3 linked regions of the Pelodiscus sinensis genome follow. Each later gene encodes a partner of the first gene's protein in a complex. Links are inferred from orthologs where the notes say so. Each region holds a gene or a part of one and is shown in the gene's direction. Other genes may lie near its edges.

The links.
Region 2: CNOT10 (region 1) and CNOT6L share a complex: the UniProt entries of both Homo sapiens proteins name them as parts of the CCR4-NOT complex. The link is inferred for Pelodiscus sinensis from reciprocal best matches to the Homo sapiens genes CNOT10 and CNOT6L.
Region 3: CNOT10 (region 1) and CNOT6 share a complex: the UniProt entries of both Homo sapiens proteins name them as parts of the CCR4-NOT complex. The link is inferred for Pelodiscus sinensis from reciprocal best matches to the Homo sapiens genes CNOT10 and CNOT6.

Annotation. Positions count from the first base shown.
Region 1 is NC_134712.1:183,643,110-183,646,859, reverse strand, and holds the start of CNOT10 (CCR4-NOT transcription complex subunit 10), read left to right. Parts: upstream 1-1,396; 5' UTR 1,397-1,512; coding exon 1,513-1,534; exon of another isoform or gene 1,535-1,683; intron 1,684-2,058; exon of another isoform or gene 2,059-2,061; coding exon of another isoform or gene 2,062-2,083; intron 2,084-3,750. UniProt on the Homo sapiens protein: Component of the CCR4-NOT complex which is one of the major cellular mRNA deadenylases and is linked to various cellular processes including bulk mRNA degradation, miRNA-mediated repression, translational repression during translational initiation and general transcription regulation.
Region 2 is NC_134715.1:8,811,900-8,815,649, reverse strand, and holds the start of CNOT6L (CCR4-NOT transcription complex subunit 6-like), read left to right. Parts: upstream 1-907; 5' UTR 908-1,072; intron 1,073-2,250; exon of another isoform or gene 2,251-2,888; intron 2,889-3,750. UniProt on the Homo sapiens protein: Has 3'-5' poly(A) exoribonuclease activity for synthetic poly(A) RNA substrate.
Region 3 is NC_134727.1:33,391,768-33,395,517, forward strand, and holds the start of CNOT6 (CCR4-NOT transcription complex subunit 6), read left to right. Parts: upstream 1-1,050; 5' UTR 1,051-1,203; intron 1,204-3,437; exon of another isoform or gene 3,438-3,750. UniProt on the Homo sapiens protein: Poly(A) nuclease with 3'-5' RNase activity.

The DNA of each region.
Region 1 (3,750 bases):
AGAAGAGACACTGTGGTTACATCTCCATAGCATAATTATTTCGAAATAACATAGTCCGCATCTACACTACAAGCCTTTATTACAAAATAACGTCAAGCTGGAGGACTTGTTACTCTGACTCCTGGCAACCCTCATTTCACACGGAGTAAAAGAAGTCAAAGGGAGAGTGTTCTTCCTTTAACTTCCTGTTGTGTAGACAGTGCAAAAAGCTGAGGTAAGCTATTTTGACATAAGTTACGCAATTGGCATAGCTGAAGTTGTGTAGCTTAACTCTACTTTAGCCCTGCTGTGTAGACACACTGTGTGAGCAACCTTCTGAAGGGGGAGGATATGACCTGAAAGAGATAATCCCGATGTGACCATACATAAGTGCCCCAAAAGTAAGTGATTCCTATTACAGAAATTTATTAACAGATAAAATATTAATTGTGCCACAGTGCCCACTTTTTGGAGATTGCGGTGTAACAATGTGGCTTTTAACTTGAACTTCTTGCTGAAGTCTGAGTATATTTCTCAACAATACCAGTAAAATCCAGGAGGCTCTTTTGTACCCCATCAGCAGTTAACAGCTACAGAAACTGTTTTCCTACTTAATATTATGACTTAGCTCAGATTTTTCAGAAAGACATCCTTCCACCTCCAGACTGGACAGGTTATCTATAGATGCAGTTGTAAGAGGAACAATGATGACCATCTTGTTAGTCTTTACAGTGCTACATAGTCCTGGTTTTTGTTTCAGCTAGACCAGACTAACATGGCTACACAGCTAGTACTATTCAATGATGCACCAGGTGCAGGATTGCTCTGAAACGTATGAGGGGTTAAGCCTCACCTGTTAAATCTGCACATCCCCAGTAAACACCTTGGCGAGGAGCCCCTTCCCAATACACAGTCAAAAGCTTCAGGGGATAGCCGAGTTCGTCTGTACAGGAAAACGGAAAAAGCAACGAATAGTCTGGTAGCACTTTCTAGACTAACAAAACACACGTCCACGAAAGCTCATGGTACCATCCACATGTTGTGTTAGTCTAGAAAGTGCTACCAGACCATCTGTTGTTTTTTCAGTTCAGCAATACACAGTCAGACCGGCCACAGAGCAGGCGAGGCAATGATTGGGAAGGGCTCCTGCGAGCACGAACCGGACGGCAGAGGGTGCTTGGTGCAAGCCAACACCACGGCGGGCGCAGCTCCGGGCTGGGAGCCTGCGACTGGAGCCAACACACCGGGCCCGGGGGAAGGGCCCTTTATCCCCCGCAGCAAAGGCACGTGCACGGGGACGCCGGGGCGCGGGCCTGGCTTGCTACGTCAGCACTAGGTGAGACCAGCAGCTCAGTCTGTGACCGGCCCGCGGGCCGGAGATCAGCCCGGCGGGGGCCAGGTCGGCCGAAGCGGCTCCCGCTGCCGGCGGGCGGGGCCTCGGGCGGAAGGGGCGGGGCCGGCGGGGCTAGGCTCCCCGAAGGGGGCGGGGCTCACTCACTCGCCGCTCGGGCAGCTTGCGCGCGCGGAGCGGCCATGGCGGCGGACAAGGCGGGCGGTGAGTAGGCGAAGCGCCGCGCTGACCCCGGGCTCTGGCTCCCTTTGTCCCGGGACTCGCTCCTCCCCGCGCAGGGATACCGCCCGAGCCGCGCTGCAGGCCTGTGCGCCCGACGAGCGCAGGGATGTACGCAGCCGCGGCTTTGCCACGGGGAGTGGGACGTCTAGTCTTGTGTCCTTCCGCGGGGGGGGGGGGAGGCGAAGTAGGGCGGGCAGCCCCTTCCCTTGGCTGGGTGGGGGCTGCTCGGGGGCGTGACGCGCGTTCCCGGCTTTGGCGCCTCCCTTGTGGGCGGCGGGTGAGGCCCCCTCAGCCCCTGGCCGGGGTTCCGCGAGGGAGGCCCCCGAGCCTGGCTCGCGGCTCTTGGGGTCGAGCCCCCGCTGGGCTGCGGGCGCGGGGGGATGGGCAGCGCCCCTGGGTGCCGGGCTCTGGGGTGTCCTGCCTGTGGCAGCGTCCGGGAGCAGGGCTGCTGCGGTAGGTGCTCGCCCCGAGCCCTGCTCCTGGCCAGGGCCCCTGACGACTCCACTTGGATGGCTTCCCATATGGCTGCTTGTAGGTATCCTAGTGACTCCCAGGCTTTCCAGACTCCTGTACTAGGGGGGGAGGCTACGTCTAGACTGGCACGATTTTCCGCAAATGCTTTTAACAGAAAAGTTTTTCCGTTAAAAGCATTTGCGGAAAAGAGTGTCTAGATTGGCACGGGCGCTTTTCCGCAAAAGCACTTTTTGTGGAAAAACGTCCGTGCCACTCTAGATGTGGTTTTGCGCAAGAAAGCCCCGATCGCCATTTTCGCCATCGGGGCTTTTTTGCGCAGAACAATACCGTGTTGTCTACACTGGCCCTCTTCGAACGGGAGCAGCATAGTATTTCTGCAGGAACACTGACAATCTTACATGAGATCGTCAGTGTTCTTGCGGAAATTCAAGCGGCCAGTGTAGACAGCTGGCAAGTTTTTCTGCAAAAGTAGCTGCTTTTGCGGAAACACTTGCCAGTCTAGATGCAACCGGGATGTAATAGTGTAGTTGATTAACCAATAATCAAAAGCTTATAGGTTAATGCTATAGACTACATGATTTCCCCTCCTCCCCCACCCTTTGCTAGTCAATTTTGTTAGCAGGCTGGCCAGCAGCCCAGTTCAGTCTTGGCTTGCACTGGGTCCTGGTCCTACCCCTGCTGCAGCTCTGCATTGAAAGTGCAGGCAGGCAGTCAGTTCAGTTCAGTTCTGGCTCATGCTGGGTCCCGGAGTTCAGACCCTCCCTCCTTCCCCCCTCCCCCCCCCCCCCCCCCGGAAAGGGGCTGCCTGGGGACTATAAAATAGTCAATTAACTAATAAGAATTCATAAAGTTAATCGACTATTCAATTAACGAATATTTAACATCCCTATACTGTACCTCTTCCTGGAGTCTAACATGTCTTGGGAACCTGTAGGTTTTACCTTGCTTAAATACTTGCTTATAAAAATATAGAACTGCCATAACACATTATTACATGCAGAAGCCAGCAATTTTTCAGTAATTATAAAACTGAATAAATTGGAATATGAATATTGCATGTAGCCTGTAGCACCGTGCTGTCCAAACAGTTCTGAAGCAGAGCAAACTAGCCACGTTATTCTGAAAATGCTATAGCAAACAAGGCATGTTATTCAAGCCAACTAGCCACAATCAACTGGCCAAATAGCCACGTGTGTCTGGTGCTTAGCGTGTTGGACACCACAGCTAGGCTACGTCTACATTGGCAAGATTTTGCGCAAATACTTTTAACGCAAGAATTTTTGCGTTAAAGTATTTGCGCAAGAGAGCATCTACACTGGCATGTGCTTTTGTGTAAGAGATGTGCTTTTGCGCAAAAGCATCCGTGCCAATGTAGATGGTCTCTTGCGCAAGAAAGCTCCGATGGCCATTTTAGCCATTGGGCTTTCTTGCGCAAGTAATTCATGTTGCCTGTCTACACTGGCCTCTTGTGCAAGAGGGCTTATTCCTGAGCGGGAGTGTCATAGTTCTTGCACAAGAAGCACTGATTCCTTACATTGGAACGTCAGTGTTCTTGCGCAAGAACTCACGGCCAGTGTAGACAGGCTACAAGTCTTTGCGCAAAAGCAGTTGCTTTTGCGCAAAATCTTGCTAATGTGTAGACAGCCCTATAGTATATAGAACAGCATAAACAGGCTGTGTGAAATTTTAGATTGTGCTGACTTGGCTCATGTTTTTTATGTAGA
Region 2 (3,750 bases), on another chromosome or scaffold:
GCGCGCGCGCACACACACACACGGGGTGATACCCCAGCACACACACACACACACACACACACACGGGGTGATACCCCAGCATGCACACGCGCACACACACACACACACACACGGGGTGATACCCCTGCACGCACACGCACACACGGTGATACCCCAACACACACACACACACACACACGGTGATACCCCAACACACACACACACACACACACACACACACAGTGATACCCCAACACACACACACACGGGGTGATACCCCAGCACACACACACACACACACACACACAGTGATACCCCAGCACACACACACACACACACACACACACACACACACAGTGATACCCCAGCACACACACACACACACACACACACACGGTGATACCCCAGCGCGCACACACACGCACACACACACACACACACAGTGATACCCCAACACACACACACACACACACACACACACACGGTGATACCCCAGCGCGCGCACACACACACACACACACACACACAGTGATACCCCAACACACACACACACACACACACAGTGATACCCCAACACACACACACACACACACACACACACACGGTGATACCCCAGCGCGCGCGCACACACACACACACACACACACACACACACACACACAGTGATACCCCAACACACACACACACACACACACACACACACACACACACACACACAGTGATACCCCAACACACACACACACACACACACACACACACACACACACGGTGATACCCCAGCGCGCACACACACGCACACACACACACACACACTCCCGCCCCCGCAGGCCCATCCAGGCCAGGGCGCTGCGCGCAGGGGGCAGGGCCGGGCCGGGCGGCGGGAGGAGGCGGAGACAGGGCCCCGCGCCCCGCCCCGCCGCTCTCGCCGCCTCCCCCCGGAGTAATCCCAATATTTATCCGGCAGCAGGCGCCTGCGGCCCCCCGCGCCCGGCCCCGCCCCGGCCCCCTCCCGGCCCGGCGGGCCGCTGCCTGCATGTCTTGGCCGCCCTCCGCGCCGCCGCCCAGCCCCGCCGCCCCCGCGCGCTGGATGCAGGTGAGCGGGGCCGGGGGGAGGGGGGGCGAGCGCGGCCTAGGCGGGCCCGGCTGCCGGGGCGCGCTCCCAGGCCCGGGCCTGCCCGCGGGGGACGGGGCTCGCGGCGGGGCGGCCGTTGGCGTGTGCGCGAGCCCGGCCCCGGCCTGGGCCCCCCGCGCGGCGCTGGGGGGCGGCGCGCGCGAGCTGGGCGCCTCTTGTGTAAACACGTGGCCCCGGCCCAAGGCCCCGGCCCGGCCGCGCGCTGGGCTGAGCCCCGCTCCGGGCCTGGCGCTTCCCACAGGGGCCGGGGAACTTCCCGCAGCCGCCCCACTGGCCTGTGTCCTGGCCTGAGCCGCAGCCACTTTGCCCCCCGGCTCTGCCCTCCCCGCCCCCCCTGAGAAATGGGACTTTCCCCAGCGCAGCCCGCCAGCTGTCACCGCTTCAGCGCCTGCCCGGGGGGCTCCGGACGCTTTGCCTGGAAGTTTGTTCTTGCCTGGCCCTGCAGCCTCCCAGGGGGGATCCTGAGGCGAACAGGGCTCCTGAGCGTGGGGAAATGGTAGCAACCCTGTCAGCGAGCCACACGGAGTAAACCAAGGCAGGTCCTGCCCTGCAGAGTTTACTACTGAGGCAGTGACAACGCAGGAGGGTAGCTCAGCTAAGCAGGTGGGAGGACGAGGTAGCAATGAAGGACCAGGGTCAGTTAGGCTGCAGTGTAAACATAGCCTATGTCAGCATTACTTCAGTTATCCAGGAGTGTGGGGGGGGAAAAAAACCCTCTCCCTGTGTGACATTACCTCACATCCGCATAAACGCTGCACTGTGTCCATTTGAGAACTTATCCCCCCCTGATATAGCTGTTACTGCTGCCCCAGAGGTGGTTTTGTCATGCTGAGCTCCTGTTGACACATAGGCTGCGTCTAGACTGGCATGATTTTGCGGAAATGCTTTTAACGGAAAAGTTTTCCCGTTAAAAGTATTTCCACAAAAGAGCGTCTAGATTGGCACGGAGGCTTTTGCGCAAAAGCATCCGTGCCCAGTATAGACGCGCTTTTGCACAAGAAAGCTCCATTTTAGCCATCAGGCTTTCTTGCGCAAAAAATTAAGGTGCCTGTCTACACTGACCCTCTTGCGCAAGTATTCTTGCGCAAGAGGGCTTATCCCTGAGCGGGAGCATCAAAGTATTTGCGCAGGAAGCATTGAATTCTTACATTAGATCGTCAGTGTTCTTGCGCAAATTCAAGTGGCCAGTGTAGACAGCTGGCAAGTTTTTGCACAAAGTCTTGCCAGTCTAGATGCACCCATAGAGTCTTCACTAGATGGGATGCACTGGTACAGTTGCAGCACTGTGTAGCCATAGATGAGCTTGCTTAGCTGGCTATCAAGCACAAAAACTGTCAGGAGAATTCAGAATCCGTGTAGTACCCAAGCTATTTTTACTTTTTTGAAAAACTAATTATATCCCTTTACACAGAAAACTCGGCATATTTTGTTAAAATATTTCCATTCATATTAGATTGTGGAGCATTCTATTTCCAAAACATACTATTTACAACATTTAAATTTTGAGCCTGAAAACTAACACAGTGGGTTTCTTCCTTTTTTGAGCCCCCTGAAAAAATTTGAATGGAGGTGTGGACTCTGTAGACACTGTTCTGCAGACATCTTCCTGAAAATTGAATCTTCAGGAGTGATTTGGTGGAGGCTAAGTTAGTCACTTTTTAAATTTACAGGGGGAATTTGTGAGAAGGTCATGGAAAAAAGCACAGAGGTGTTTGTGAAAGATGTTGACTAATGAAGTAAGGAGTGGCAGAGTGGGTGCTATAAGATAGTGGTTTTGGTAAGTAGGCATGGGTTAAATTATAAACCACCCTTACGATCAGTCTAAAGGAGTGCATATTTGATGCTATAAGGGGGGAAATTGGTGTTCCAACAAATGGGTGTATGATATAATTGAAGTGGTGAGGTATGAAAACTTTGGCAGCATTTTGAATTGACTTGATAAAGTTGCAGTAGTCTAGTCTGCAGAAGAATAGACCTCAGTAGTGAAGATATGATATAGAGGGCCTAGATAAAAGAGATTGGCAGTCAGGAGAGAATATGTAGATCTGAACTGAAGAACATTTTTTTTGTAACAAATATTGGCATATATAATTGACTAATGATCATGCAGTCACTCAAGAATGTGCTTAACTTAGCATGTATGAATAATTCCTTTTTTAATGTGTGCATAAAGTTAATCATGTGCATGAATGTTAGTAGGATGGTACCTTTGCTAGTTAATCTGTATGGCTTTATAGGTCCCAGGTATCTTTCATACTAGAAAAGAGGATTCTGTCACACATCCAGTTTCCCAGAACATCCCATTAGAAGGAATTAGTATCACCTTTAAACTACCAGTGGAACATAGTCAACTAGAGCAGTGTTTCTAGAGGTCGAGGGACCTTTGGGGGTCAGCAGACTATGTCTAAGGGGTATGCAAAAGGCTTAAGCTGAAAACTGACTGAACAGAATTCACCTGAATGTACAGATAGTATGTTTCCAAAGGAGTCCAGACCTCCATTCTAAATTTTTCAGTGGTATCATAGACTCATAGACTTTAAGGTCAGAAGGGACCATTATGATCATCTAGTCTGACCCCTTGCACAATGCAGGCCACAGAATCTCACCCACCCACTGCTAGAATAATCCTTTCACCTATA
Region 3 (3,750 bases), on another chromosome or scaffold:
AACCATACACATTGACCAATGCTGTCCCCTGTCCCACTGCATGCACTACACTGCTACTCAGATCTCACCAATATGCTCCTCCAAACATGCCCTGGGACCCCACGAGCCCCCCGCAGCTACCCCCTCTGAAACCCCCGCGGCCCCCCGGAACCTCATGGGCCCCTCGCGGCCACCCTCCTCCCAAACCCCACGGGCTACCCGCCTCCAGAACACCAAGGGACCTCCGCAGCCACCCCCCCCCCCGCAACCCTACGGGCTCCCCCAAACCTCACGGGCCATACCCCTCCGGAAACCCGAGGCCATCCCCCTCCGGACCCCCCAGGTCCCCCGGACCCCTCCCCACAGCCACCCTCCTCTGTACCCCACAGATCCCCTAGGCCATCCCCCTCCGGACCCCCCAGGTCCCTCTGGACCCCCCCGCAGCCATCTCACCTCCGGACCCCACAGATCCCCGAGGCCCTCCCCCTCCGGACCCCCCAAGTCCCCCAGACCCCCCCCCCGCAGCCACCCTCCTCTGTACCCCACAGATCCCCTAGGCCATCCCCCTCCGGATCCCCCAGGTCCCTCTGGACCCCCCCGCAGCCACCTCCCCTCCGGACCCCACAGATCCCCGAGGCCCTCCCCCTCCGGACCCCCCAAGTTCCCCAGACCCCCCCCCCCCGCAGCCACCCTCCTCTGTACCCCACAGATCCCCTAGGCCATCCCCCTCCGGATCCCCCAGGTCCCTCTGGACCCCCCCGCAGCCACCTCCCCTCCGGACCCCCCCCCCGCAGCCATCTCACCTCCGGACCCCACAGATCCCCGAGGCCATCCCCCTCCGGACCCCCCCGCAGCCATCCCCCCTCCGGACCCCCCAGGGCCCCCGGACCCCCCAGATCCCCGAGGCCCTCCCCCCCCGCGCGGTCCGTTGGGCTGTGGGGACGCTCCGAGCGCGGCCCGGCCAGGCCGCAGAGACGCCGCGCGCGGCGTGCGGTGAGTGTGGGCGGCCCCAGCGCGCGGCGCTGCGGAGGGGCGGGGTGCTGGGGCGGGGGGGGGCGGCCTGCCCGCTGCCGCCATGATGCTTGTTTGCTTTCAATGCGTGTGAGGAGAAGGGGGAGGAGGCGGGGGGGAAGCTGCTCTCCCGTCCGGCCCGCGGCAGGAAACAAAGAGCCAGGCAGGCAGCGGAGAGAGGGCGGCGGGGGGACGGGGATGCTGCAGCCACAGGTACGGGCAGGAGCGCGGACCCCCGGGCTTTACCCTGCGGGGTGGTTCTTGTTGGAGGAGTCTCGCGGCGTATTCCTGCGGGGCGGGGTGTGTGTGGAAAGAGCGAGTATTATTACTCCGAGGGGGGGGGGGGTGATTGGGGGAGGGGAGTACTGCTGCTTTGAGGGGGCGGGTATCACCGCTATGGGGGGAAGAAGTATTACTGGGGGGGGGCACACGGGCGCCCCTGTGTTGGGGGCCAAAGGGGTAGAAGTGCCCTGGGTGGGGGGCAGAGAATGGTGTATTGGTTCCAAGGTGCGGTTGGGTGGGGGCAGATTGCTAGGGAATTTGGGGGGGATTATTGCTGTGGGGGAGGGAGACCTCTTGGTCTGTGGTGGGGTGAATGGGAGTATTGCTCCGGGGCCTGAGAAGTAGTATTGATTTGAGTTGGGGGGGGGGGGGTTAATCCCTTGGAAAAAGCTCTGTGGGGGCTTTGTGGGGGGGGGGGGGAAGCGACGAGTGATTTTGCTCTGAGGAACAGGGGGCTGGATTAATACTCCAGGGGGTGGGGAGTTGAGGCTGGGAAGGGGTATTTCTCGCAGCAGGCCTGAGGGAGGAGAGGGGATGTCATTGTGGAGGGGAAGAAACGGTGGAGAAGCATTATTGCTGGAAGCTGGGGCAGGGAGGCGCTGAAGGAAGGGGGCTTGAGTGGGTGGGTGATATGAGAAACTCTTGAATGAAATGGGGCTTCTTTTCAAGAGGAATTAGACTGGAAGCTTATCCACAGAATAAGAGAGCCCAGAGGCAAAGGGCCTCCTTCCCTCAATAGCTTATTGTACCCCATATTTATTGGCATTTAGAAAGTAATTATATTAGGGTGGTTTTGCAGTGAGAGGAAAGGTGGGGGCTTCTTTCAGAGGAAGTAGGTTTATTCTCGTTTCAAAGGCTTACACGCATTGAGAAAGCAATTAAGAGGCAGTGACAATGGACTTGAAATTAGTATAATGGCATTTGGAAGTTTAAAAGCGTTTTTCCTGTGTAATTGAGTTTAAAATAATTAAACATGAAGACAGAAGGAAATGACATCAGTATGATAATTGACCATCTACATTCAGACCACAATTTTCCATCAGCCTACCCCTCTGCATTGAGAGACTTGAATTCATTTAAAGCTGATGTATTTCTTTTTGTAAGTCTTATTTTGTGAACAAGCAAAATTGGTTTGTAAACAAAATCTGTTTTCTGCTCCGAGAGAAGCCTCCCCTTTCATTTGCTGCTGATAGTCTGAAAACTGAGGCCTAGCTGGCAATAAGGAGGCCACAGCAGCAACTGCTTAGATCTATCTGAAGTAGAAAGGAAGAGTGTTAGAGGGTGATTGTCAATCCTGCTGTCCAATGAAATGACTGGGGAGGGCAGGACTTGTGGTGACATGCAGATAAGTGGTTGGGCCAATGAGACACTGGGATACACACATGTAGGGCGTAAACAATGGGGAACTGGGAAACATACTCCAAAGACAAGTTTATGCAGTGTTGTTATATGAAAAAATGTGTGTATGTCGTTAATCATGGAAATTATAATAATATCCAATTGATAGGGTTACTAAGCTCATGAGCAGGCAATTACTTTTGTAATTGACGGTTTGGAGAATGATTGCTATTGTATTTGTCAGACTCTGAGACAAACATGTAGGAAGTAAGCAGTTGTGAACTAGATGCTAGATCTATTTTTCGCTACACTACATGCTTTCAAATGTGAAGAATTTTAAGTTGCTGTGTTTCCCACTAGTGAGGTTAGCAAACCTGTTACATGCCAATTCCTGTATTTGGCTCAAAATTGAGATTTTTAGAGGTAAGATTTTACATAATCTGATCAATAATGTCTGTAAATTAAAAAAAAAATTCTTGTGAAACTGGCTTCATTGTCCCATCCAATCTTAATATGGGGGGGGGGGGGGGCAGAAAAATGGCTCAAGTTCTTTTGATCTAAAATATATTAGTAATGTAGAGACAAGAATTGCTTGAATATGACACTCTAGGAAGGCAATTGATTTATAACCAGTAATGGTTGTTCAGTTCTTCCTTTGTTTAGTTTCAGGAGGTTATTTTATTTATTTGAATTTCACTGAGTTGAGTATCAGATAAAAAAAAAATCAAAGAATGTAGGAATACCGGTGGTAATTGTCTGGTTTATGTGTGTAGGTTTGCAAGTGTTGATTGGTAATTTTATTGTATCTTGCATTTTTTTCATCCTAGAGCAGGTCTCGTAATTGGGAATTTATCAACATTTCCACTGGGGTAATTTTACAGGATTATCTGCCCTGTGTTCTTCCTGCTGTTTCATCTGGACTCTGGAGTTTGCTGCTAGCAATGAAGCCTTCTGTGGGGGTTTATTCACGCTATTACTGAAATGGAGCCATTCGCATTTGGATTTACGCTTTATTCACTTTCCACTTGAATCGCTTGGATCAGTCCATTTATAAAAAGGAGACTACTATGCATCTTTTTTCTGTTTGCATATTGAAGTTGAACGCTGGGTGCATCCTTGATGTGTACAGGCTGTTTACTT